3 linked regions of the Saccharomyces cerevisiae S288C genome follow. The protein of the gene in region 2 interacts with the protein of the main gene of each other region in a biochemical or structural test. Each region holds a gene or a part of one and is shown on either strand. Other genes may lie near its edges.

Region 1 (11,454 bases), on a different chromosome or scaffold from region 2:
GAAGACATCTATGTAAAATTAAAGGGTTAAGTGAGGTGAAAGTGGAAAAAATTAAAGAAGCTGCTGGAAAAATCATACAGGTGGGATTTATCCCCGCTACTGTACAATTAGATATAAGACAGCGTGTGTACTCCTTATCAACTGGATCTAAGCAACTAGATTCAATCCTAGGTGGTGGAATAATGACAATGAGTATCACTGAAGTATTTGGTGAATTTAGGTGTGGTAAGACACAGATGTCTCATACTTTGTGTGTTACCACGCAGCTTCCGAGGGAAATGGGTGGTGGTGAAGGGAAAGTAGCATATATTGATACAGAAGGCACTTTCAGGCCCGAGAGGATTAAGCAAATTGCAGAAGGTTATGAATTGGATCCCGAGTCATGTTTGGCAAACGTTTCATATGCTAGAGCCTTGAATAGTGAACATCAAATGGAACTTGTTGAACAATTGGGTGAAGAACTTAGTTCTGGAGATTATCGCCTTATCGTGGTAGATTCTATAATGGCAAACTTCAGAGTAGACTACTGCGGTAGAGGTGAACTAAGCGAAAGACAGCAAAAGCTAAATCAACATCTTTTCAAATTGAATAGATTGGCAGAGGAATTTAATGTTGCAGTATTTCTGACAAACCAAGTTCAATCAGACCCAGGTGCTTCTGCATTATTTGCCTCGGCAGATGGTAGGAAACCAATTGGAGGGCACGTTCTGGCACATGCGTCAGCAACAAGGATTTTGTTGAGAAAAGGGCGTGGTGACGAAAGAGTTGCCAAGTTACAAGATTCCCCAGATATGCCTGAAAAAGAATGTGTCTACGTAATTGGTGAAAAAGGTATTACCGATTCAAGTGACTAGTTTTTGTATACTTTTTTAATGAAGATGACATTGCTCCTTTATTAAACTTTTCTTTTACTTTGTGTTACTAATATTATTAATATCTTGTTATGATTCTTTGTTTTAGCAGCTCCAAAAGAAAGGAATATTATAATATAATTGTTGTAATTCGGAAAAAAAATATTAAATTACTATGGTGCATATGCGTATATAAAATTGAGCATTACCTAACGCCATATATTACTATCTAAAGTCCTCACAGATGATGTGTTTTCAAAATCAAATGATTGGAGCTCCTCATCATCATCCCCGGTAAACTGCTCGGTTTCAGATCCATTATCCAGATACCTCAACGGGCTAGTGTACGCAATTGAAGGGTACCTATAAAATAAAGTACGTTCCTCTTTCAACTGAAAAAACCCCCGATAATCCCTTGACAAGAAATAATACATAATATAATCTCGCTTTCTGACAAGACTTTTCAGTTCTTGGTACTCTAATTCCCGTTCGAAAACCGGATATGTGCCAGCAATTTCGTCAGTTATTATAGCGTTTATAATAGCCTCGTAGTCATCGGGCTCAATTCTATTTTCGTAGTTGAACAGACGGTAAAAAGGGCTACAGTCATAATTATGCTCGCATTCCTCGAGAATAATATCTGAATCAGATTGTAAATGTATGATATTTCTTGGCGTTACAACAATAGAATCCTCAGGCCCTGATATTTTCTCTATAGATGGGGAATCCGGTATATAGTCAAGGTTGATATCTGTTAATTCATTTGAATTTAGGTTAGCGCGAGCTTCAATTTCGTTAGGCTTCTTGAAATTTGCCTTAACTGGGATTTGCTTTGCCAATTTTTTGTCATCTAGCTTTTTTCTATGATTGAAATTTAGGTCACGAAGCCTTATATGTTCAAGATCCTTGGATTTTGTAGCAGCTTTTTCCTTTATCAAGAAACTGCTTGACTTCTTTTGCGAAAAAGGGTGGGTTTGATTTTCATCTTGATGCAACCTCTCATCGACATCCATTTTGTCACTGTGTCTGAGAATCTATACTTCAGGGCCTGCTACAAGAAGTAGAAACTAAAATACAATGTTACAAATGCGAGAAGGGTTTTTTTTATGATCATGAGTGACCGCAATAAAATCTTTCGAAGCTTTTTCGAATATTTTAACATTTTTTCTCTATAGCTTCTTTGTGGCATCGCCCATGGGATCAAACCATACTGGTTTCTTTGTAAAACAGGCGCAAAATATAGAAACTCAGAAAAAGAGAAAACGAGTAGTGGAAAAATTTATCAGCCATTTATGCGACGCATCCGTTTGACTGATCTACCTATTTAAAACAGAAACCTACGTTGAAAAGTTATTTTTCCAACACATTACTGGATCTCATCAAATTGCCAATGTAATCTTCTAGATAATCATTTTCTTGCTTTAGTTGCTCACACACCTCTTGCTGCTCTAAGGTTTTATTCCACAACAAGTCTAATGTATCCTTCAGAAGTTTGGTTTGGCGCATCATCCTCTCATTTTTTGTTCCAGCTTCTCTTTCGCCAAGATTAACTTCAGAGGATGGCTGCTTGCCCGTCGGCGAGCCAGTACTAATGTTCTCCGCTGACATTGTCCTATTTGTTTGTTTGCTATTATAATTTATCTAGTCAACAACTTCGCAGATCTACAAACTGGTCCTTAAGATGTTTTATTGAAGACATCATTTTTTATTTTTTTAAGCAGAACGTGCTGTGCTCTCCCTTTTGGGCCTTTTTACGATTTTCAAAAAAATTGGTCTCTAGCGGGATCGAACCGCTGATCCCCGCGTTATTAGCACGGTGCCTTAACCAACTGGGCCAAGAGACCTGTAATCTGTGTTAAACCTGCATAAATTATGAAATCATAGCAACGTTTCAAATACTTCAGATGCCCCCATCCCTTCGTGTAGATGATGAAATGAAACTCTAGAATATCATCCATTTAGTAGCATTCTTGCTGCTGGTATAGTATCATATGAGATCTAGGAAGATGAAATGAAGCTTGAGAAAGAGTTAGCAAGTTTAATGGAAGCTGAAATGCAAGAATTGATAATGTAATGGGAAAATGAAGCATATAAAACGATAGGAAAAATAATCGTAATATTATTGTATGCAAATACCGATTAAATTTGAGGATCCCTATACCCTTGAGGAGAAGTTCTAGTATGTTCTGTATACATAGTATTGAAGCCTCTATCAACAATGGAATCCCGATAATTATCACAAAATTCACACAAACCTCAGATAAACGTAACAGTATTAGCATACATAATTATACCCAGGCTTCTCCCACAGTGCGCATGATTCGCTACGAAATCATCAATTTCACATAATATTGAGATTGCATTTGTTTTTGTTTCTTGCGTTGTCACTTTTAATTCTGCTGTATTATCAACTCCTGCACTTAGCTTCTGCAAGATAAAATGACGACTTGAGCATCATTCTCAGATTCAGTTGAAAGTTGCTGACGATTTTCAGGGGTCCCATTTCTAGTAAAACGACATTAGACATATACTAGAAGTTCTCCTCAAAAGATACAGGAATCAATAAAAGAGAATCGGCAATTCTAAATAGCATATTATTATTACTTCTTTTGCTTTGTAAGTTGTAATTTACAATCCTATTACATTATCGTTTCTTGATTTCAACTTCCATTAGATTTGATTATGACTGCCATCATTTTGGGTCACCGTACGTGAACATTGGTTTGCAACAGGAATAAAAGTCTTGAGATGTTGTACTCTGAGCAAATAAACAAAAGGAATTCTTTCTAATATTTCACAAAACTGATTTCCAAAAATGTCTCTAAGTACTCCATTAGCGACACATTTTACATTTCATTTATTTAACATAATACCTTATTTAAAGATTGATTAATTTTCGATGAGGCATACCCCTTGGCAGAAAAGGAACAAACTCACAAAGTGCACAAAGAGTTTATAAAGAAACTAAGAAAAGTAAGGAAGAGAAAGAGACCGTACCAGCAAGGCCAAGATGTTTAAAAGAATCGCAATAGCCCAGATAAGAACGTATACAAATGGCGTTGTTTTCAAGACAGCCTCTAAACCCAAAAGAAGATGGATTCCATGGACAATTTTTGGGGGAAGTTTTCTTGGAGGGTGGTACTTGACACAGCATATGACGTTCACGGACTTACTAGCTTATTGGAGATATGATGCCCTACCCAAGAACGCAGATGAAGTCGTCAAATATCACGCTGATCTGAATAGACGTTTAAATGGCCTACCCATAGTAAAACAGTTGGAGAATGCTGGTTTTGTACAAGTGATTGCTAATGAAGAGGAGAACTTGTTAGTGTCAAGGGCATTAAATACACCAGGTGGCGTCGCTATACCACCAAGAGTTTACTACAACCCCAGTAGGCGTGAAACTGTCGGGCTATACCATTTAGGAATGAAACTTACTGGTTATCCTTTCTTAATTCACGGAGGCATTTTAGCAACAGTTATTGAAGATTTAATGAAGGAGGCCATTAGACTCGAAAAAGGAACAAAAAATATAAACCAAGAAACCAAGAATTTGAGTATCTCGTACAAGTTCCCCACGTTAGCTAATCAATTTGTTGTAGTAAGAACCACCGATCTTCAGCAATACGGTAACAAAACTAAATTAAAGGCTGAACTTATGGACCAAAGTGGCAACAGGACATTGGTCAAAGCTAATGCCACGTTTTCTAGCGAACAAGGGAATCCAAAAGAAGAAAAATAGATTTGCCGTCTACTTATTTATTTATTTATTTATTTATACAATAGCTGTACCATGTAAATAATACATATATGAAATTATTGAAACCAATGTATGGATCCATCTCCGCATACTATACAATCCATGGAATAATCATGTTTTTCTAAAGGAATTGGAGAGGCCACCTGTTCCATAAGACATAGTCCAACTAGGAGGGGCTTTTGGCCTTCATGCAGTATCTTATACCGTTGGAAAAAATCGTCATAATACCCAGCACCGTGACCCATCCTTGCACCAGTTTTAATATCAAACGCCACTCCAGGCACCAATACGACATCTAGAATATCTGATTCCTCAATATGCGGTTCAGGCTCTTTTAGTTGATATGGACCTTGAGGCTTCAAATCACGAACCATTTTCAAACTACTCATTCGATGGAATATTAAATGTGGATGATGATCTTCCCGTAATTTGAAGTGTTTCGATTCAGAAGTATGAGTACATCTTGGCAGAAAGACCTCCTGGCCATCTTGAAATAAATTCTTAATGATTTCTCCAGTCGTTACTTCTCCTTTATCCATGCTCATATAACACGCTACACGCCTAGAATTGGCGGAAGCGATCAATGAGCGTACTGCTTGAGAAATAGTATGCGACTCTGCAGCGATAATATCGTAGTCAAGAGCATTTATTACCCTTTTGATTTGACGTCTCAGTAATTGCTTAGTGGCCATTAATTTTTTGTAGCTATATAAAGATAGCGTAGCTGACAGTAATTTTTATTTTTGCCATTTCAATGATTAAATATTATTCGGAAGAAATCTGAGAAAATTATATATATCCTTCAAGAGAATGAAGCTGCTAACTGATTAATAAAAACAGCTTTAATCACAAATCTCTCACGACATGAAATAAAACACCCTTGCAAACAGATGTGGAAGACTGATTGCCACAAAGCTTCGGGCTCGCAAGCAGAATGGTTTTCAGGAAGTGACTTACTAAGCTCGAATATTGTCCTAGATAGCAAACAGGCCTTTGATGGAATCAGTTTGTCTCCTGAAGGTTTTTTTGAAATAAAATGATAAATGAGAATAGCAGACCAGTTCTACGGGTAGGATTGAGATATAAAACGAGAAAGGCACTCTCTCACTGAAAAGTAATGAAAAATTATCAGAACTCCAATCTGCTGTCTTTACATCCTCGAGAATATCGCTAAGCTATCGATACTACGAATGATCCAGATACGACAGTCTTCGCTGGCGATCTTTTTGGACTAAATTTGCTCACTGATACACTAAAAAGCCTACGCAACTACACAAAGGTAAGAAACCACAATCGCTACCCATTAATCCTTATTGGCATTGTAGCCCCATATAATAGAAGTGAAAGAGTAACATTGCGCCATTTTTCGCTACTAAATAACCTCAAGAAATGTGTCCAGCTTATGGTTCCCATAGAGCGAGAATATATGACTTAAAGCATATCCCTGAGTGGGTTGCACTGGTACACACTCTGTGATGGTGGAGCACATTAATTAAAACTCAAAAAAATTATCACGATATGGACAAAAATCTAAATGGGCAAGTATCTCTCACAAAAAGACCTCACGTATTTTATGAAATTACAAATTGACGTATTTCAACCTTGTTTACTCTAAAGTTCCCCCATATAGCATAGGGGTGCTTTGGGTTTATTTAATCGTCAAATATAGTCCGATTTGTCTCATTATTCTTGTGTCGGAAAAAAATTTATTGAAGCGACTACTACCTAGATATTCTGCAATTTTTCCTATAATATAATATGCCTCACCCCAATCAGTCCCTCTTTATGACAAGAAATAAGACTACAGTGTTACATCAGATACTCCACATTCCCCCTATCGAAACCCAACAAGAGCGCTATCTCTTATACAACATTTCACAAAAAACATGTGATATGCTTTCAATTGATCCTATCAATATCAAAATTATCATTCTCACTGCATTATCCTTCATTTTCGTTAGTGCGCATCCTCCATTTTGGGACGTGTCTACCAAATAAAGAATGATGCGAGATACAAAGTAGGTGATAACATCAGAACCCGGTGTTAGAATGCAAGGTATAATCAGCAAAAAAAAAAAAAATGTGTAAAAAAAAAAGGTCGGTTACCAGCTTTACTAAATGTTTTCTATTGAATAAAATCATAGAATTCCATAAGTGACTGTGACATTTTCCACCCAGTTGATACAGTTCAATGAATTCTCACTGCAGCTATATTTTGGATGCTTCTCCACTTTGTAATATACATTGTGATGTTTCTTTGATGAAAGATATAAAATATTAAAAAAAGTTGATTCTTACATCTCATCTTTGTCATAAAAATCCTCTGGAATGGCACCTTAGAATTTCTAGGCACAGGAAACTATTCGATTTTTCTAATATATGAATCTAAGTCAAATTCAATATCTATGTTATTTCAGAAAGTGGAGTAGGTGTGCTTTTAAGAGAACGGATTTATGACGGAAAACTAGGTTAAATAGACGAAGAAAAGCTGAAGTAATTATCGTTTTGCTGAAACTTTCAGGATAATCCCTATCATAATATATTCCTATCAAGCGATGAGCAACGGAAAGCTGTGAATTGTGAATGTAACAACAAGACTATGTGAAGCAATTTTTAAGAGTTATTTCATTTAGCAATCTTTTGAGACCCGAAATACTCAAAGAACGATAAAATCGTGGGACGAATAATTAGACTAGCAACAATAAAAGGAGTAAATACAACTAGATTTGTGAGTGTGTGTAATTGCGTGTAGCTTGAAAGACTTACCACAGTGGTATCAACACCATACTCGAATCGTTCTAGATCTTGCATAAAAAAAGGACATTTACTTTTACTTACTAGTTATGAGCCACCTTTGATTTCATGGTACAGCCCATAACCTTCCTGAAAGCGGTGCATAACGTAAGGGACTAGATTAGAATCACAAAACCTTTTATTGCATTCTACAGTATTCGTCTAAATCAAGGGATTTTATTTCCTAATTGAAAGTGATCAATTGTTTAGGTGCATACTTGGTTTTTACTCTCCGAGGTTTTCTTTAGTAATACCAAATTCAGTGTCCTCCCAAAATAGATTGAGAAGGTCTGGTAGAGATTCTGCAGTCACAAAATTTTCGAGGCTACAAAAGTCCATGCCAACTGAAACACTGGTGCTGCTGGGTGACAACTTCTCATAACAAGCACCTTCTTGATTTTTTCCCTGTACGCCAATAACTCTATTATTCACCAAATCACCCATTTCCCTATCAAGAATGCTGAGAATTTCTTTACGGAAGCTTGATTCTTTGTGTTCGCCTATAATATTCCTGTACCAGATACATTCAATGTCCAACGCAGCTTGACCAGCATCTGAGCAAGCCTGGCCATATTTTTTCAATTCACAAAACAGCGATTCCTTAGCCATTTTCTGTGAACGTGTGTACATCTGACAGCAGATGCGTGTTAGGATGAAAGAAACCGCTGTTCCATTTTCCAACTTTTTAGAGAAGGCGTTGTTGCCCTTGAAATTAACATTGCCAGAGCTCACAAATAAGTCATTATATGAGGCTATCATGCGGCACATCAAGGATAAATAACATATCGAGTTCCTTCTAGGGGTCTCGATAAAATTCAAGGTAATATTCATCAAGATGGCATATATGAACCACGAACAACGGAAAATATAGAACGTATCTTCGTGCTTGAGAACATCCGTCAAAATATCTACAGATGCTTCAAAGGTTTGAAGCCTGATGTCCTTTACGCAGGAATCAAGTTCAATTCTCTCTCTTTCTTGTAGAAGATTTTGTATCCTTAAAATTAAACTCTCCATTCCCTGAAAACAACAAACCTTTGCAAATCCGAAATGGGTGTATAGTTCAAATACATTACTATTTTCAGAATATTGTTTGAGGAAAGGGATTAGTTTGTCTTGTATGCACTGAAAAATTTTACATATTTTTGAAAACTCTACCATAAGCTGTCGTGCGGTTCCATTTAGGTCTTTAGCGTTAGGAGTTGCAAATAATCTGTAGTCTGTAAAGTGTCGATTATAAAGCAAACCAGAGAATACCGCTGTAATAATTTTCGTTAATAGAATATAGCCGAAAGAGATACAAATATCAAACTTACTTGGGTCGAGCTCCACCAAGTTTATTAAAGTAAAACAGTCCATCGAATCATCTACCCCTAATCCAACCACATCCTTGGGAAAGAGACACGAAGTCATTTCATGTGGTATCAATGGCTGCTTACCGGTGACCAATGAATACCATCTATCCCACCAGTAGCAGTCCCACCATAACTTACGATATTCTTCGGCAGTGTCCTCATCCTGACCAATATAATATTCCCAACGATTCAAACCAGCATCCAAACTTCGCCTGGACATCGTGGAAATAATTCTTCCCAGCACAAAAGGATCGTCTATCCAATATCTGTGTTTCATCAACGAGACTAAGCCCTTTAAAATAGTCAAGTCGTACATTGTCGAAAATAGGGATCTTTCAAAATATTCAAGACAGAGACAAAAAATCAACTCATCTTGCTCAAGAAAATATTTCAAAGGAAGTAATTTTTTGGAACTTTTACGATCCAACGCCTTGTGGTGCTGTTCCATCAATTGTACTCCGTACATAAACCAGTCTGTTGGTTTATTGAATTTGATTGTTTGGTTAATGTTTGTATTTCCTTTGATTTCATTCGATATATTTGACATAATGTGTTGAATAAGTACGTCGTTCCCACATGAAAGTCCGTTTAGCTTTGAATAATACTCTAAAGGAGATATCGAAGTTACTTTAGGACCAGCATGGCTAGCAGAGCTAGCGTCAAGAAACTTCAAAAATAAATAGATAGTTTCTCTCGTCTCCCTATCATTCGAACATGAAATCAATTTTTTAGTTATCCAGCTAATACCCGTAGAGGCAAAATATAGCAACGGTGAATAGACCCCAAAGTACATACTGACATTTTGTGCAGTATTGCTTTCAAAAGCGTTGGAGAACCTATTCAAAGATTTTGACTGTTTCCCGATAATTTCTGTTTCTATCGATTTCAGGCCACCATACGAGCTAATTTCCTTACTGTCCAGATTGAGGTAAAGCTGAGGTTGTATTTTTTCAAGCTCAGTGCAAATGTTTGCTAGGCCTTTCTGTAAAGAGGCCGGTGCGCTTGGAGGTAACTGTGCCTTCAATTTTGCTATGCTGCACTTAGCATTATCCAAATCATTACTGAGACTACCAGTATAATTGAAAAAAGCCTCAATCGGTTCACGAAATTGATTTCTATACGTACATTTTGATTGAGACCCAATACACCCAAAACATGGCTTCTTACTGTTGCACTTAATCTTTTTCCTATGGCATCTATCACAGGCCTTGGTTACCCTAGATTTTTGTTTGGCTAATCCTCTTTTTGCTGCCATCTCAATAAAATATAAAAAGCTAAAAAGCTTAAAATTTAAACAACAATAATGTCGTTAACCTAATGCGCTTATTCGATGAGATTTGGATTTGCTTCTAGCTTATAGAAAGGAAGAAAGTTTTTACTGTTCAAAGCACACATCAAAAAAATTATTACCCAGCCTTTCAAACAAACAAAGTACTCCAAAATAGTTATTTTTGAATACTAGCAAACCAACCAATCACTTTTTTTGTTGGATTATCAAATAAGCCTAATCAGGTCTTTCATGCAGCGTTGAATCCAGGTTACTTCACCGCACCTTAAGTTAAGATCAGGACAGTATCGGCTGTTCCTGAGAAACCAGCCATATTCAAGTTTCGGTATCCTAACCGTTGATATTGTCCTTATTTGTCGACCTTCAAATATTGTGGCTGCCATGTATATGAGCGCCTCGATCTATTATGACTAAGCCATGCGATTGTCGTGTAATGGTATCGCGCATACTGAAGGTTTCAGCCCTGTTTTGATGTGCCGCGGCAAAGTGGTTTTTCTCCATACAGGATGAAGTGTTTCTTTCCCCATGCCGCGGCAAGCTCATCCTAAATAAATCTCAACTTTTCAACTAAATGTACTTCAATTGAACAAATGCCAAGACCTCAAATGAATCAGTATAAAAGCACCTACCGAATCAATTGTGGGATGTATAGTCTCTTGCCTCAAAATGTCCAGGATAGTAGGTTAATAGTGTCCAATTACATAGCTACTTAATCTTTTATTGTCCATCAACGTTCCAAAATGTCCACAACTGATTCGGGGTTCGTACTTTACCACTATACGCCAAGTAAAGCGGCTGCAATCGTATTTGTCGTACTCTTCATTATAATGACAGTCATTTTTGCCGTTCAAACTTTATATGCTGCGAGAAAATCTTCTAAGGCATTGAAAAATAATCCATTTGAGTCATCTGATGATAAGGTCGATAGTCTTGAGGATGCTGAATACAAGCAACTAAAAATCACACCCACAGTTTTTGCGTTTATACCTTTCTTCACTGGCTGCATCATGGAAGCTGTCGGGTATATCGGGAGGGCTCTATCCAGTTCCAATCCTGAAAGAACGACCCCATATATTATCCAATCTGTTCTTTTATTAGTCGCTCCAGCACTAATAGCTGCGACGATTTATATGATTTTTGGAAGGTTATTACATGTTATGAGGTGCCAATCTTTAATTTTGATTTCTGCACGCTTTGGTACGACTTTCTTTGTTGTGGGAGATGTGTTTAGTTTCTTTTTACAAGCTGCAGGTGGCGGACTAATGTCTAAGGCAGGATCAACGAAGACTGGTTCAGGACTCATAACTGCGGGTCTTTTTGTACAGGTAATTTTTTTTGGATTTTTCATTATCAATGAGATAAGATTCACAGTAAATGTTAAAAGGAGATGCTTATTTTACGAAG
Region 2 (3,566 bases):
CTTGTAAGTGACTACCAATTTGTGACTTTAATTGATTGAATTCTTCATACCGGTGGCCCAGACCTACAGATGTATCATCCAAAAATGCGAGCGCTAGTTCTAAGGGATTAGTGTTATCCGACAGTATTCTATTCCATTGAAGATTTATCCTGTTTAAGTCATTCTGAAGATGGTCCAGGGAACTATTCATAGCAGATTGCTGAGTCTCCGAAAGACTGTTTATGGAAAGACCACGTCTTCTCCCCTTCTGCGCTGGTTTTAGGTAATCCATTGTATGCAATCGAGAGGTGGCGGTTGTGCTGAAAAAGTAGCAAGCTTATCTTGTTTATACTCCTATATTTAACAAGTAGCAGACTTTGTTTAGTTGTATACTTATTGTTATTTGAAATGGTTAACAAGAAACTATTTGAGCGTTACCCGCCATAAAGTTTACGTCAAAGAAAGAAGAATTGTTACGGTCAGAATATAACTTCATGATATACCTATTTGTGTAGTGGTTACTATAAAGACGAGGAGGACAAATCGGTTTTGAAATTTTTCACTTCTTCAACCAAGTAGTCTCTTAATTTGGACATTGAATTCAACTCGGATTCATAGGTGAAGTCGAAAGGACCCTGAAGGCAAACAGGCTCGTCGTCTGGCTTCCGCACCTCGTTTAGGAACGGATGTGATATAGCTTGTTCCACGTTTAACCTATGTGTTGAGTCCCAATGAAGTAATGACTCTATGAGATTGATTGCTTCATGCGAGGCAAAGGGGAAAATGTTGGACCATGGGATTTTTTTATATACAGGGTTATTACTGTTTTTGCCTAGATTCCAAGCTTTAATGGTGCCAAACTTGATCAGAATATCTTTATCAGGAGTACCCAAGACTTTGATGATTTCAAATATCTGGTGCATGGAGTCACGCCCCATGAAAACAGGCTTTCGAGCATAGAATTCTGCAAGAATGCACCCTACAGCCCATATGTCTACGGACTTACTATACGGTTGGTTGGAAAGAAGCAGCTCAGGCGCCCTATACCATCTTGTAGCAACGTAGTTGGTTATATGGGGCTGCACAGTGGAATGACACTTGAAAAATCCGGCATGAATACCCCTAGCGAGACCAAAATCGCAGATCTTCAAACAGCCATTCAATGTGCACAATATGTTCCCAGGCTTCAAATCTCGGTGGATGACATCTGCACTGTGTATGTACTTTAGCCCACACAGGATTTGGTAAAGAAAGTATTTGATATGAAACTCCGAGAGCTGCACGGACGAATGTATGACTTTTGCCAAATCATAATCAATCAGTTCCTGGTAGCAATACAGTCCGTCATAGGGCGAGCTGGTCACTATCTCTAGATCGATTAGATTTACAATATTTTTATGGCCCTTGAAGAAGTTCATGAATTTTAGCTCACGGATGGCCCTTTTCAAAAGGATCTCCTTATTAAAGATGTTGCTGATCTTCTTTACCGCTATCCTAGCAGCTGGGCTTCGACCCTTAAACTTCACTGAGCACACTGTCCCATAGGCTCCCTTGCCCAGGAATTGGATTATCTCGTAGTATCCTGGGATGGATATTCTCTCCTTGGCAAAAATCGTCCTCTGTTGAGGAGCACCGAGGTTGGAGGCCACATTTATGGCTCTGGTATTATCTGTAAGTGTGCAATTCATTCTTGGAGCGTTGAGCACGTCTACATTTCTATCGATATGATGTATCGCACGACGTTAAATACTGTTCAAGTGTCACAAATTAGTGGCGCCGAATTCTACCCTCACGCCTCGTCGCGCGCGATACTTTTCGAATCACCCGCCTTTTGCCGCCTATTTTTTTCGCCGTTCGTTTATTTAGCGGTGGGCAAACAAACAACACAGTATTTATTACTGGTACCGACTGTTAAAGAAGGACTGTTTTGGGACGTGTTTTTTTCCTGTTTTTGCTCAATTGACTACCCTATACATAGTAAAGCACAGTCGCAATGGTCACCCCAAGAGAACCTAAGAAGAGAACCACTAGAAAGAAGAAGGACCCAAATGCCCCTAAGAGGGCTTTGTCCGCCTACATGTTTTTCGCTAACGAAAACAGAGATATTGTTCGTTCTGAAAATCCAGATATCACATTTGGACAAGTCGGCAAGAAGTTGGGTGAGAAGTGGAAGGCTCTAACGCCAGAGGAAAAGCAGCCTTACGAGGCCAAGGCCCAGGCCGATAAGAAGAGATATGAATCCGAAAAGGAGTTATATAACGCCACTTTGGCTTAGGGATACTTCCTCCCCGCGTTTTTGTCTGTGTGATTTAATTTCTTTTCCTCTTGTTCTTTTTGAAACTTGCTTTATTATCTCTCTCCTTTCTATTCCTCTTTTCTCTACTGCCCTTTTTCTATATCTATACATATGATTAAATAAATAAATAAAAAAATTGTATTATTAATATATATTTTATCATCATCGAGTGTTTTTCCTTTTATGTGGCCAGCCGGCCATGCATTAGGAACGTAGACCGAGTGCAGCTCTTTTCAGTCAACGGCAATATCAGTTTAAAGGCGTCCCCTTCATTCAAGTAGTAGCGGAACATCCGTTTCATTCTGATGAAACCCATTCCTTCATATAAGTTTAGAGCCGCCGAATTTTCCACCTCTGTTTCTAACATGATCTCATCGCAATGTTCCCTTTGCATTTTATCTATGGCAATTTCCACTAGTTTCTTTGCTATGCCATGCCCGCGGTATGTGGACTCTACGGCTAGCATTCCTATATATCCTCTCAGTCTCACGTTTCTATGCGGGTCCATCTTACACACTATGCAACCAATGGGTATGTTAGGCGTTCCACTCTTGTTGTCAACGGCAATGTACGTTAACTCGGGCCATTGGTTCAAGAAATACCTATATACGTATATCGAGTACGGCTCTGATAGATCCGCATCTATTAGTTTTTTAATACTAGCAAACTGCTCTTCGTTACGTATGTCCAATGGCTTGTACACTATTTCCATGTCCTGACCCAACGCCTTTTCTGTAGTAGTGGCTTTTTTATCTTGTAATCTCTTGTGAAACTTTGTTCTTCATGATTATTATTTTTAATAAGGCTTGCCATGGAGAGCCTTTTTATCGCTTTTGGCTACCCGGTTTCTTGGTAGGAATGGAACTATATAATAGCGATGCCCTTATTTGAGTACCATTTTCTCAAATCAGAACCAAAGTAGTCCTCCTTTGAACAACGATTATTTTAGTGTACTGTTGTTGTTCGGAAAGTACTTCTTTTATTTTCTTTTATACATCATGGCAGACGCTGATGAATATAGCACTGCACCTACCCAGCAAGAAATAACACCACTGCAGACAACAGCCACTATCATAAATGCAATATCTGGAGAATGTATAACTACGAATGTTGATTTTTTCGTTTCCCTGGACAAATTTAAACAGTTCATTGCTAGGAAATGGAAGATTCCTCCCGATCAGCTGCTGATTCTACTACCTTATGGTAACAAACTAAAACCGTCGATGTTTAAAGAGCTGCTTATTAATAGGTCTTTTACTCTAAATGATTTTTACGTTTACGACAGACGACT
Region 3 (12,090 bases), on a different chromosome or scaffold from region 2:
CCTTTAATTCAGCTGATAGAGAAGTTCGGCTCTAAAATTTATGATTATTGGAGAGAAAGAAAAATTGAAGTTAACGGGTACGAAATTTTTCCGCAGCTGAAATTTGAAAGGCCGGGTGAAAAAGAAGAGATTGATCCCTACGTCTGTTTCAGAAGAAGAGAAGTGAGACATCCGCGGAAAACAAGACGTATAGATATCTTAAACAGTCAGCGTTTAAGGGCGTTGCATCAAGAATTGAAAAACGCGAAGGACTTGGCCCTGCTTGTTGCTAAACGTGAGAACGTTTCCCTAAATTGGATTAATGATGAATTAAAAATATTCGATCAAAGGGTAAAAATTAAGAATTTGAAAAGATCTTTGAACATTAGTGGAGAAGACGATGACTTGATTAACCACAAGAGAAAACGCCCCACGATTGTTACGGTCGAACAAAGGGAAGCTGAACTAAGGAAAGCTGAACTTAAGAGAGCAGCTGCTGCAGCAGCGGCAGCGAAGGCAAAGAACAATAAAAGGAATAACCAACTTGAAGACAAATCTTCTAGGCTCACCAAGCAGCAACAGCAGCAACTGTTACAGCAACAACAACAACAACAGCAAAATGCCCTTAAGACTGAAAACGGAAAGCAACTCGCGAATGCATCCTCTTCTTCAACATCACAGCCAATTACGTCTCATGTTTATGTCAAACTACCATCTTCCAAAATTCCTGACATTGTATTGGAAGACGTGGATGCTCTATTGAACAGCAAAGAAAAAAATGCAAGAAAGTTCGTTCAGGAAAAGATGGAGAAACGGAAAATTGAAGACGCAGATGTCTTTTTCAACTTAACGGACGATCCCTTTAATCCTGTATTTGACATGTCGTTGCCTAAAAATTTTTCGACTAGTAATGTTCCCTTTGCATCTATCGCGTCATCCAAGTTTCAGATAGATAGATCTTTTTATTCTTCACATTTACCAGAATACTTGAAGGGGATATCTGATGACATCAGAATATATGATTCAAATGGCCGTTCGAGAAACAAAGATAATTACAACTTGGATACCAAAAGAATCAAAAAAACTGAACTGTACGACCCATTCCAAGAAAATTTGGAAATTCATTCGAGAGAGTATCCAATAAAATTCAGGAAGAGAGTTGGTAGATCTAATATTAAGTATGTTGATCGTATGCCAAATTTTACAACATCGTCGACCAAGTCTGCATGTTCTTTAATGGATTTTGTAGATTTCGATTCAATCGAAAAAGAACAATATTCAAGAGAAGGTAGTAACGATACTGACTCGATTAATGTTTACGATTCCAAATACGACGAATTTGTCAGACTTTACGACAAGTGGAAGTATGATTCTCCACAAAATGAATATGGGATCAAGTTTTCAGATGAACCGGCAAGACTTAACCAGATTTCAAATGATACTCAGGTGATTAGATTCGGAACAATGTTGGGTACGAAGTCCTACGAACAATTAAGGGAAGCCACCATAAAGTATCGTAGGGACTATATCACCAGACTGAAACAAAAGCATATACAACATTTACAACAGCAACAACAACAGCAGCAGCAGCAACAGCAGCAAGCACAACAACAAAAGCAGAAATCACAGAACAATAATTCAAATTCTTCGAACTCCCTAAAAAAATTAAATGATTCGTTAATCAATTCAGAAGCGAAACAGAACTCTTCTATAACCCAGAAAAATTCATCATGAGCAGCACAACTTTGTACCTCTCGAACATCTTTCTACGCATTGGCATTTAACAAACCTGACATTCAAAGTTTACTACGAAAGTCGAGGCAACATTACTGAAGATTCAAATCACCGAAATGAACACCGATAACGCAATAATAATGAAAAAAAACAAAAAACAAAAAAAGATAACTACAATAAATTTCAAAAGAAAAATAGCAAGTATCATCCGGCTGTAATATTATCACCTTCACAAGACTACATATTTTTAACGTTTTTTTTAATTTCCATTTCACACGGTTGTGACCTTTTGATTTTTCGCATGATTTCATCCCAAATGCTTGATGTATTTAAGTTAGATTCATACTCTTATATAGACAATTGCATAACTCACTAGGTACCCTCAAATAAATGCATTTCTTCTTATTATCCATTTTTTTTTCCTGTATGGCGCGAATTTTGAAAAAGGTCTAAATATACCAACCAAGTCATAACAAGAAAAAGTAAAAATGAGTCTCAACACATTCCTTGCAGTTCCATCTGATAGTAAATTCACACTCGAAATACTCCCTCTACTTTAAAGCATTGGCCTATATCTTAGGCTTACCATCATACAAAAATCTTCATTTCGTTATGGGTATCAGGAGATTAGTTAGTGTTATAACGCGGCCCATAATTAATAAAGTTAACTCATCTGGTCAATACTCGAGAGTACTCGCTACGCGTGAAGACCAGGATAAAGCTTCCCCCAAATATATGAACAATGATAAGATAGCAAAAAAACCTTACACATATCGCCTTTTCTCTATTCTTGGCATTTTAAGCATTTGCTCGCTTTTATTGATATCGCTACTGAAACCTTTTAATGGTGCAGATGCTCCTCAGTGTGAATCTATCTATATGTTTCCATCTTACGCAAGGATCGATGGATTTGACGAGAGGTATACACCACTGGCACACAAGTATCATCTTTACTTGTATCGAGAACAAAGCGTAGACCGAGAACCTTTAAATGGTGATGAGTTACAACTTGATGGTATCCCTGTACTTTTTATACCCGGAAATGCAGGTTCTTTTAGGCAATGCAGATCGATTGCTTCCGCTTGCTCCAATATATATTTTGATTCCAATACCAGGGCGACTCTGCGTAACGAAAATGTGCGAAATTTGGACTTCTTTACGGCAGATTTCAATGAAGATTTCACTGCGTTTCATGGTGAAACAATGCTTGATCAAGCTGAATACCTAAATGATGCCATTAAGTACATCTTGTCTCTTTACGAAAGGACCCCTGATTACCCACATCCAAAACCGCAGTCAGTTATTATCGTGGGACATTCCATGGGCGGTATTGTATCCAGGGTCATGCTAACTTTGAAGAACCACGTACCGGGAAGTATAAGCACCATATTGACCTTATCATCACCTCATGCTGCTTCACCAGTAACCTTTGATGGTGACATTTTAAAGCTTTACAAAAATACAAACGAATATTGGAGAAAGCAGTTATCCCAAAACGATTCTTTTTTCTCTAAGAACATTTCATTGGTTTCCATTACAGGCGGTATATTGGATACTACTTTACCTGCAGATTATGCATCTGTAGAAGATTTGGTTAGCTTAGAAAATGGGTTCACCAGCTTCACAACTACTATTCCAGATGTTTGGACTCCAATTGATCATTTAGCCATTGTTTGGTGCAAGCAATTAAGAGAGGTACTAGCGCGCCTTTTATTGGAAAGTATAGATGCCTCCAAACCTGAAAAAGTTAAGCCATTGAATCAGAGATTGCAAATCGCTAGAAAACTATTGCTTTCAGGGTTTGAAGACTACTCATGGATGAATAGTAAGTTAAATTATCCTCAAGAAAACTTACAAGAATTTAGTGACAACTTCTTTTCTGATTACGCTACTTTGGAAATGAACGATGTCCTAGATTTTGAAATGTTTAACCTGGAAAAGTGGCACAACAATTATACAAAAATAAATATTCCGAGTAACATCTCCTCCACTGAACACCTGCATTTCACATTATTAACTAGTCTCGATATGCCTATGATCTATTTCTGTACAGAGTCCAGGGTGAATCTAAGCTGTATAACAGCTGTTGATAGTATTCTAACAGTGCCCAGGTCTTCAAAAGATACTCAGTTCGCAGCTGATTCTTCTTTTGGAGAAGCAAAAAATCCGTTTAAAGCCGTTAGTGTTGGCAAGAATATACTACAGAAGTACGACTACTTGATGATAAGCAAACCCACTTACGGTGAATTTTCAGAACAAGAAGGCATGGAGGACAATCAGGGGTTTCTTTTGGCATTACTGCGCAACGTCTCCAATGTACAAATAGTCAATACTACACCTTCTCAAATATTGCTCTTTGGAGAACAACTACACTTGGATGGCAAAGACATCGAGCAGGTTATAAGTTTCAGTAATTTGTGGGATTCTTTATTATCGTACAAATTAGAAACCAAGATTGAGGCAAGCAACGAAGGTATTGCTTCCGAAGAGACATTGTTTCAGCCTTTCATAAGGCAATGGGTTTACGAACCTTTCGAGTCTAAATGGCATCTAAATATTATAAACAAAAGTCTCGATATAAATATGCATAATGTAGCACCGTTTATCCCATTAAATGAAAGCGAACCGAGATCGCTACAATTAAGTTTTTTTATTCCACCCGGAATGTCCTTAGAAGCTAAAATGACTATTAATTGGTCTTTAACTTTGAAAATGCTGTTTATCAGGTACAGATTAGCACTAGCATCTTTTCCAGTCGCGTTTATAGCACTCGTACTGTCATACCAGTTCTACTGGTACAACAAGACATCTGAGTTTCCTTCCTTTGATAGCACTTTGGGATATATTTTAAGAAAGCACGGAATATTAATGTTTTTTACGCTGTTCTTAGCTTCGCCTGTGGTTAATAATAAGTTGGTACAACGAATACTTTATTTATTGGATCCTGTCGGTTTAAATTATCCATTTCTGCTATCCGAGAGAAACATGCATGCAAATTTTTATTATTTGGGGATCAGAGATTGGTTTATGTCAACTATTGGAATTCTCTTTGGGGTTATGACAGTTGGATTACTAGCACTAGTTTCTAAGATTTTTGGATCCTTGGAAATTTTAGTAATATTCCTTCAACGGAAGTTATCAAAGAAAAACACTGAAGATAAAGAGGCTTTTGATACTATTGAACATAAAGCGTATGGTAAGGGAAGATTAATGGCATCTGTGCTTTTATTACTGTTGGTATTTTTTCACATACCATACCAGATGGCGTTTGTTATCTCATTAGTAATCCAAATTGCTACCTGCATTAGAGTAGCGCTGTTGAAACTATCAAACAACGAGCAGAAATTGAACTTACTAAATTATAATATGACGTTGCTTCTGCTTTTATTATTTGTTAGTGCCATTAACATCCCTATCATTATTGTTTTCCTGCATAATGTTGCCATCAAATGGGAAACTTCATTTAGATCCCATCACAATATACTAGCAGTGGCACCAATTATTTTTTTGGTTGGAAATAATTCTATTTTCAAAATGCCAAACAGCGTACCTTTAGACACGTGGGATGGTAAAGTTACCATCATTTTATTTGTGTACTTAACCGTTTTCAGTTTCATTTATGGAATAAGAAATCTGTACTGGATACACCACTTGGTGAACATAATATGTGCCTGGTTGCTATTTTTCGAAACAATACATTAGAACTACAACCCAGTAAAAAAAGATTAACTGTATATATTGCCTGAGAGTTCTAGATCATGGCAAGAAAAAAGCTTGAACTCGTAAAAGCAAAGGTGGTTTCTACCACTACTTACGAGATGTTTATTATGTAAAGGAGTTTAAATATTATCAAATAAGAAAGATACCATTTTTTTTTATAGAGAATGTGGTGCATCTGATGAGCACCTGAATCTAGTAGTAACCTTATACCGAAGGTCACGAAATTACTTTTTCAAAGCCGTAAATTTTGATCATAAATTATTATTATCTTCAGTCCAGAACTTTCTGGCTTCCTCATCAGCTGCCGTATCGGGAGTGTACATGTCGACGGGTTCAACTTCTCCCTCTTTGTAACTTGCATCAGCAAACGGTCCTATCCTAGTATTTTTTGAACTCGTAGGTGTGGGCAACTGATAAAACTGATTTTTCTCTATATCATCTGCAGTCTCAGAAACAAAAGTTCTTTCCGAATGTTTATCCGATGTTGTTTCCTTCCTTCTAGGATATAGGTCATATAATCTACTTCTGAGACTGCTTTTAGCATCGTTGTTGATACTATCAGTTTGAAAGCTAGACAGCGTGCCTGGATAAAACCTATCTGTGGATGTTGTAAAGTCTGAAGTAATTGTGTTTGTTTTGGATGCATTATTAGCAGCCGTGGCCCACATTGATGATAATGGTAAAGACAATACAGCAAGTAATGTTGCAACAGTAGTCAAGACATCTGTTCCCTGGTTTGGTTTCAAACTGTATGCGAGGATGAATATTATCGATGGAACCAACAAAGATTGACATGACATTATGAGTAAAATATGGAAACTATCGAACTGCTTGAGACCAAGGAATCTTCTTGATCTAATAGCTAAAATCAATTTAACTACCAGGACAAATGACATAAAGTTTATTGAGGATGCAAGTAAAATTGTGGATGCATTGAAGTATTTATCTTGGGTGGCACTAACATCATTATAAGTCACAATCATACCTTTAACAGCGCTTACAAAATACATGGTAACTGTAGCAATCCCTAAAGTGAAAGATATCGACGTCAGCATCAAACCTATCCTTTTGAAGTTGTCGCCTGTGAAAATAACTTTTATCTGAAACACCAGTGAAGTCTCAATAGAAGCCACAAGAAGGACTTGAATTATATTTGTAGCACCATAAACATGAACGTCACCTCTACTGATGAACTGAGGAAATCCGGTGAGAGCGTAAGTCACTGAAGAGTAATTAGACAGTAAATATTTAAAATAGAGTGCAGAATGCAAAATGATTAAAAACAATGAAACTTGGTTGATAATGAAAATCGGCGTTTTTCTGCTTCTCGATGTCATCCACATGACAATCAAAGTCAAAGCAGCTGCACCACATCTGACACCAAACATAATGGCCTGAGTAACAGTACTGTTAACTAAACCTTGCAACTCATCGAAAGTGATGGTAGATCCATTCCCATATATGGAAGTGTAGTTAATGGTGCTTTGACCAGGATTATACGTTGGATCATAAAATAGATTGCTCAATGAAGGAGCCGCATCAGACATTTTTGATTCTTGGATATGGTTCTTAACGGTGCATTTTTAAGTAACCAATTATAATTATAGCCAGAGCAGGTGAAAAGAAAAGGTATCGTATTGCTTTGAAGTCAAATAAGATACTAATAGCACTCCTTAAATAGTATTCCACCCACAGAAAAAAATCTTGAATATGTAGGAAAGCTTTTTTCTTCATATGTGTTTCATCATGTACTTACCCAATTAGGAAATTTACATGGTTGAAAAAACTTCAATCTGCGACTTGCCAGGCACAGGTCCTAAGCAGTATGGACGTTGGCCTGCTTAAATTCTTAGCGGATACTATTGTTTCATTGCAAAGCAGGATACTTCTTCTCGTTTATACTAGCCTGTCTTAATGCACGAGACATTTACCCACAGAGCAAGACGTATATTGACGGATTGCAACACCTATTCGAGCACTACAGCGTGTGACAATGCATTTTGGCAGGCATTGGATAACATATCCGGACTATTCTACAGTTCGTTCTATGCTCTTATCTTGAATCTTTGGTGTATTAAAAAGCTTATTGAGGTTTCATAGCTAAATTTTTCCTTTTTTCTCTCTGGGAAGGGAAGATTATCTTGAATTGGCAAAGTAAAGAAATAAAGAGAAAATTTAGCAAATGACATAGAACAAGCCAATTAACAAAATACGATGCCATTAAGGTCATTATTTCATACTAATCAGAGTAGCCACGACAAAGACGCGTTGACAAGGGGAGGTTATAACGCATATCTGGAATCACTTTCTCGTTGTGACAGTGGAAAGGCAGAAGAACAAAAAGGAAAAGTTATATCAAAGTTATTAGAGAAAAAAGATGTCCGAGCTTTGAGGTACATAGGTTTAGGGCCTCTGGGGTTTGTAAACAACTCATTAAGAAAAGATTGTTGGTATGAATTATTGGCGTCCCAGTTGCTTATTGATGATGCAACAGAGTACATTACACCAGTGGAAAAACATAAAGATGAAGGTCAGGTGATATTGGATGCAGAAAGGTCTTTTGGTGGAATTGTCGACAAAAACTTGAAACTGCAATTGAGAAAACTACTGGTGGAGTTAATTACTCGGGTATTGAGAAAGTACCCAACGTTGAACTATTACCAAGGTTATCATGATATTGTGTCTGTTTTCATCATGTGTTTTAGTTGGAATGTCACAAAAGAGAACGGACTGGAACTAGAAAATCTCTCATTGCAAGAAGAAATTGATATGGAAAGGCTGTTTTATTGCATCGAAGCATTTACCCTATTATATCTGAGGGATTTCATGATGAACTCACTAGATTTTTCATTTGAGCAATTGAGAGTAATCTCTTCATTGATAAAGGAATCAAACATGAAATTCTATAATCTATTCAAATTTGACGAAAATGAGCCCCTTTTCGCTATTGGGTCAATATTGACAATCTTTGCACATAATTTGAAACCTATAGATAGCGGTGACAACAATCTTCATAAAATTCTTTTCCAGATATTTGACATGACAATATCGATGCAATCTATGCGTTTACCTTTGATCATATACAAGAACCTGCTATTGCAAAATGCGTCTGAAATTTCGAAGCAAATAGAAGCTAATTCTGATTTCTTCGAGAACGATTTTGACCTGCGCCATGGTGCTATACAAACAGTTTTACAGAAAAAACTGTATGATGAGGCGCTTTGGGAAGAAGTCTTGCAAATAACTAGAAAAGATGCGACTACTGCCAGCAAGAAGGCTTTGAAACGGGTGAGTCTTAATAAATATAGTGCATTACTCAATACAGCATGTGGAAAGCCAGGATGCTTCGATATGAGCACCATTATCTTCTATTTGAGCGAACAAACAAAGATGAACGAGCATTACAAGGAAGAAAAGTATCATGGTGTCGCCGCCAGATCCAAGACAAGGGCGTTGGTCCAAAGACTTGGCCATTTTTTACCCTCCAAATATAACAGGTGGAGCAAAATTTCTTTACTTATCGGGATTGTAGCTATCCTGTACCAATTACGGACTACAAGGTCGTTGAGTTTAGTACTCAATCTACGTTACATGATCTCCACAAAGTTGAAAGACTTATCACATATAAATATAAATTTGCACCACGTTAGTCACATCTGGGTGGATCCGATTAGGGACATTTTGAAACTGGGGCATCCAACTAGATAGCATACAATATACCTTATATACCCATGACATAGAAACAAACTCATATGTAAGGTATTATTATAAAGTGCTTCTTTAAAATTCGCTGCGGAAATTTCTTCGAGGATGACTCAAATAAGAAAAAACGAAAATTCTGAAAGAGAGATTTTTAGTATGGAGAAAACCAGTACTCCTGCATAAGATATCAAGATATTAGATAACTCTCAAGATGGTTTCCCAATTTGCTATTGAGGTGCGTAACCTAACGTACAAATTCAAAGAAAGCTCCGATCCGTCAGTTGTTGATATCAATCTTCAAATCCCATGGAATACAAGATCTTTAGTTGTGGGTGCCAATGGTGCTGGTAAATCCACCCTTTTGAAATTACTAAGCGGTAAGCATCTTTGCCTTGATGGAAAAATCCTGGTCAATGGTCTTGATCCATTCAGTCCATTATCTATGAATCAAGTGGACGATGATGAAAGTGTTGAAGATTCGACGAACTACCAAACGACCACTTATCTAGGTACGGAATGGTGCCATATGAGTATCATTAATAGGGATATCGGCGTCTTGGAACTATTAAAAAGTATTGGATTCGATCATTTTAGGGAAAGAGGTGAAAGATTGGTTAGAATCCTGGACATCGATGTACGTTGGAGAATGCACAGGTTAAGTGATGGACAAAAGAGAAGAGTTCAGTTAGCCATGGGGCTCTTGAAACCTTGGAGAGTTTTACTACTTGATGAGGTCACTGTGGATCTCGATGTTATTGCCAGAGCAAGACTTCTGGAGTTTTTAAAGTGGGAGACCGAAACCAGAAGATGCTCAGTGGTCTACGCTACACATATTTTTGACGGCTTGGCCAAATGGCCTAACCAAGTATACCATATGAAATCAGGTAAGATTGTGGATAATTTAGATTATCAGAAAGACGTAGAGTTCTCTGAAGTGGTCAATGCTAAAGTTAATGGACAAGTGGCCTTTGAAAATGACAACAATAAGGTTGTTATTAGTAAAGTGAATAGTTTGCATCCATTAGCACTAGAATGGTTGAAACGTGATAATCAAATTCCTGACAAAGAGATTGGTATATAACTGAGTATATATAACTGCAAAGACCCCCTGTATAGAAAATATGTATCTTAGTGGAAAATGTGATTTGACTATTTAAGTTATAGAAGTAGTTTGTGATCCTAAAAAAAGGAAAACGACAGAAGTCTCATAGAAGCAAAGAGGCCAGATGAAGAAGAGAGGCAACAAAATTCACGCCCATCTTAATGAAACTGGATAGTATAGACATTACACACTGTCAGTTGGTCAAATCTACTAGAACTGCTAGGATTTATAGGTCGGATACATATGCCATTAAATGTCTAGCACTAGATTTCGATATCCCGCCACATAACGCCAAATTCGAAGTATCGATATTAAACAAACTGGGCAACAAATGTAAGCACATCTTACCTCTTCTAGAGTCTAAGGCTACCGATAATAATGACCTATTGTTGTTGTTTCCCTTTGAAGAGATGAACCTTTATGAGTTCATGCAAATGCACTATAAAAGAGATAGAAGAAAAAAAAATCCCTATTACGATTTGCTAAATCCCAGTATCCCAATTGTTGCGGACCCCCCCGTTCAGAAATATACTAATCAATTGGACGTCAATCGGTATTCTTTGTCCTTTTTCCGGCAAATGGTTGAAGGGATTGCATTCTTACATGAGAACAAGATCATTCACCGCGACATCAAACCGCAAAATATCATGCTAACAAACAATACCAGCACCGTATCCCCAAAGTTGTACATAATTGATTTTGGCATCTCTTATGACATGGCAAATAACTCACAAACAAGTGCGGAACCCATGGATAGCAAGGTGACGGATATAAGCACAGGAATTTACAAGGCCCCAGAAGTGCTTTTTGGAGTAAAATGCTATGATGGTGGCGTGGACGTGTGGTCGTTGTTGATAATTATTTCTCAGTGGTTCCAGAGAGAAACAAGCCGTATGGGGCACGTTCCGGCCATGATTGATGACGGCAGCGACGACATGAACTCAGATGGAAGCGATTTCAGACTGATTTGCTCAATATTCGAAAAGTTGGGCATACCGTCCATTCAGAAATGGGAAGAGGTTGCGCAACACGGCTCGGTTGATGCATTTGTTGGTATGTTTGGTGCAGATGGCGATGGCAAGTATGTACTGGACCAGGAGAAAGATGTACAGATTAGCATTGTTGAGAGGAATATGCCTCGACTGGACGAGATTGCGGATGTCAAAGTCAAGCAGAAGTTCATTAATTGTATCCTGGGGATGGTTTCATTTTCACCAAACGAAAGATGGAGCTGTCAAAGAATCTTGCAAGAATTAGAAAAGCCATAATAAGAAGAATATATAGGTACATATATATATATATATATATATATGAAATGAAAAGTACGAGGGTAATCACTTTTTCCTCTGAAGAGCTAGTTTTATTAAGTCGAAGCAGTTCTTCATGTACGGTAAATTCTTGTTGCAAGCGGTCACACCCATATGTCCAATACGGATATACTTGGGTCCGATGTCCTTGTGAATACCTCCGGCAATGACTACACCGTGTGACTTTAAAAAAGCAATGACATCAGGAGGATCTGCTACGTATACGGCTGTCAACCCGTGCGCAGACATGTTAGAAGGATACCTACTGACGGATGTCAATTGCAAGCCATTAACCAAACTGTCTTTAAACCAATCACTCATTTCACGGTGCAAATCCCATCTCTTATGCAACCCCTCTTCGAGAATTTCTTTCAAGGCTACATCAAGGCTATTAATTAGTTGTACGGGTGGGGTTGCAAAATAAGCTCCTTTACCAGCCTCATAATTTTCCATTATTGGTGTCCATCTTCTCAACGAGGAAAAATACCCATGTACATGACCATTTTTGCTGTCGTTGAGTGCATAATCCATGAATCTGCTACTGCA

The links.
Region 1: of the proteins of SMK1 (region 2) and ISC10, one has a biochemical effect on the other in vitro, tested with the Saccharomyces cerevisiae proteins (3 studies listed by BioGRID, with this or other methods).
Region 3: of the proteins of SMK1 (region 2) and CAK1, one has a biochemical effect on the other in vitro, tested with the Saccharomyces cerevisiae proteins (one study listed by BioGRID).

The regions. Positions count from the first base shown.
Region 1 is NC_001137.3:548,664-560,117, forward strand, and holds ISC10 (Isc10p), read right to left. Parts: upstream 1,865-11,454; coding exon 1,061-1,864; downstream 1-1,060. Other genes in the region: recombinase DMC1, read left to right, coding at 1-854; SLO1 (Slo1p), read right to left, coding at 2,202-2,459; YER181C (uncharacterized protein), read right to left, coding at 2,810-3,133; FMP10 (Fmp10p), read left to right, coding at 3,862-4,596; FAU1 (5-formyltetrahydrofolate cyclo-ligase), read right to left, coding at 4,671-5,306; TOG1 (Tog1p), read right to left, coding at 7,633-10,017; PUG1 (Pug1p), read left to right, coding at 10,791-11,454. UniProt on the Saccharomyces cerevisiae protein: Indispensable for spore formation.
Region 2 is NC_001148.4:664,381-667,946, reverse strand, and holds SMK1 (mitogen-activated protein kinase SMK1), read right to left. Parts: upstream 1,668-3,566; coding exon 501-1,667; downstream 1-500. Other genes in the region: exocyst subunit SEC8, read right to left, coding at 1-271; YPR053C (uncharacterized protein), read left to right, coding at 1,704-2,159; NHP6A (high-mobility group nucleosome-binding protein), read left to right, coding at 1,973-2,254; peptide alpha-N-acetyltransferase MAK3, read right to left, coding at 2,457-2,987; autophagy protein ATG11, read left to right, coding at 3,274-3,566. UniProt on the Saccharomyces cerevisiae protein: Required for spore wall assembly. Required for proper deposition of the two outer layers of the spore wall, the chitosan and dityrosine layers. Negatively regulates GSC2, an alternate catalytic subunit of the 1,3-beta-glucan synthase (GS).
Region 3 is NC_001138.5:77,470-89,559, reverse strand, and holds CAK1 (cyclin-dependent protein kinase-activating kinase CAK1), read left to right. Parts: upstream 1-10,398; coding exon 10,399-11,505; downstream 11,506-12,090. Other genes in the region: EPL1 (Epl1p), read left to right, coding at 1-1,713; BST1 (Bst1p), read left to right, coding at 2,326-5,415; alpha-factor pheromone receptor STE2, read right to left, coding at 5,685-6,980; GTPase-activating protein GYP8, read left to right, coding at 7,648-9,141; putative ATP-binding cassette family ATPase CAF16, read left to right, coding at 9,347-10,216; AGX1 (alanine--glyoxylate transaminase), read right to left, coding at 11,572-12,090.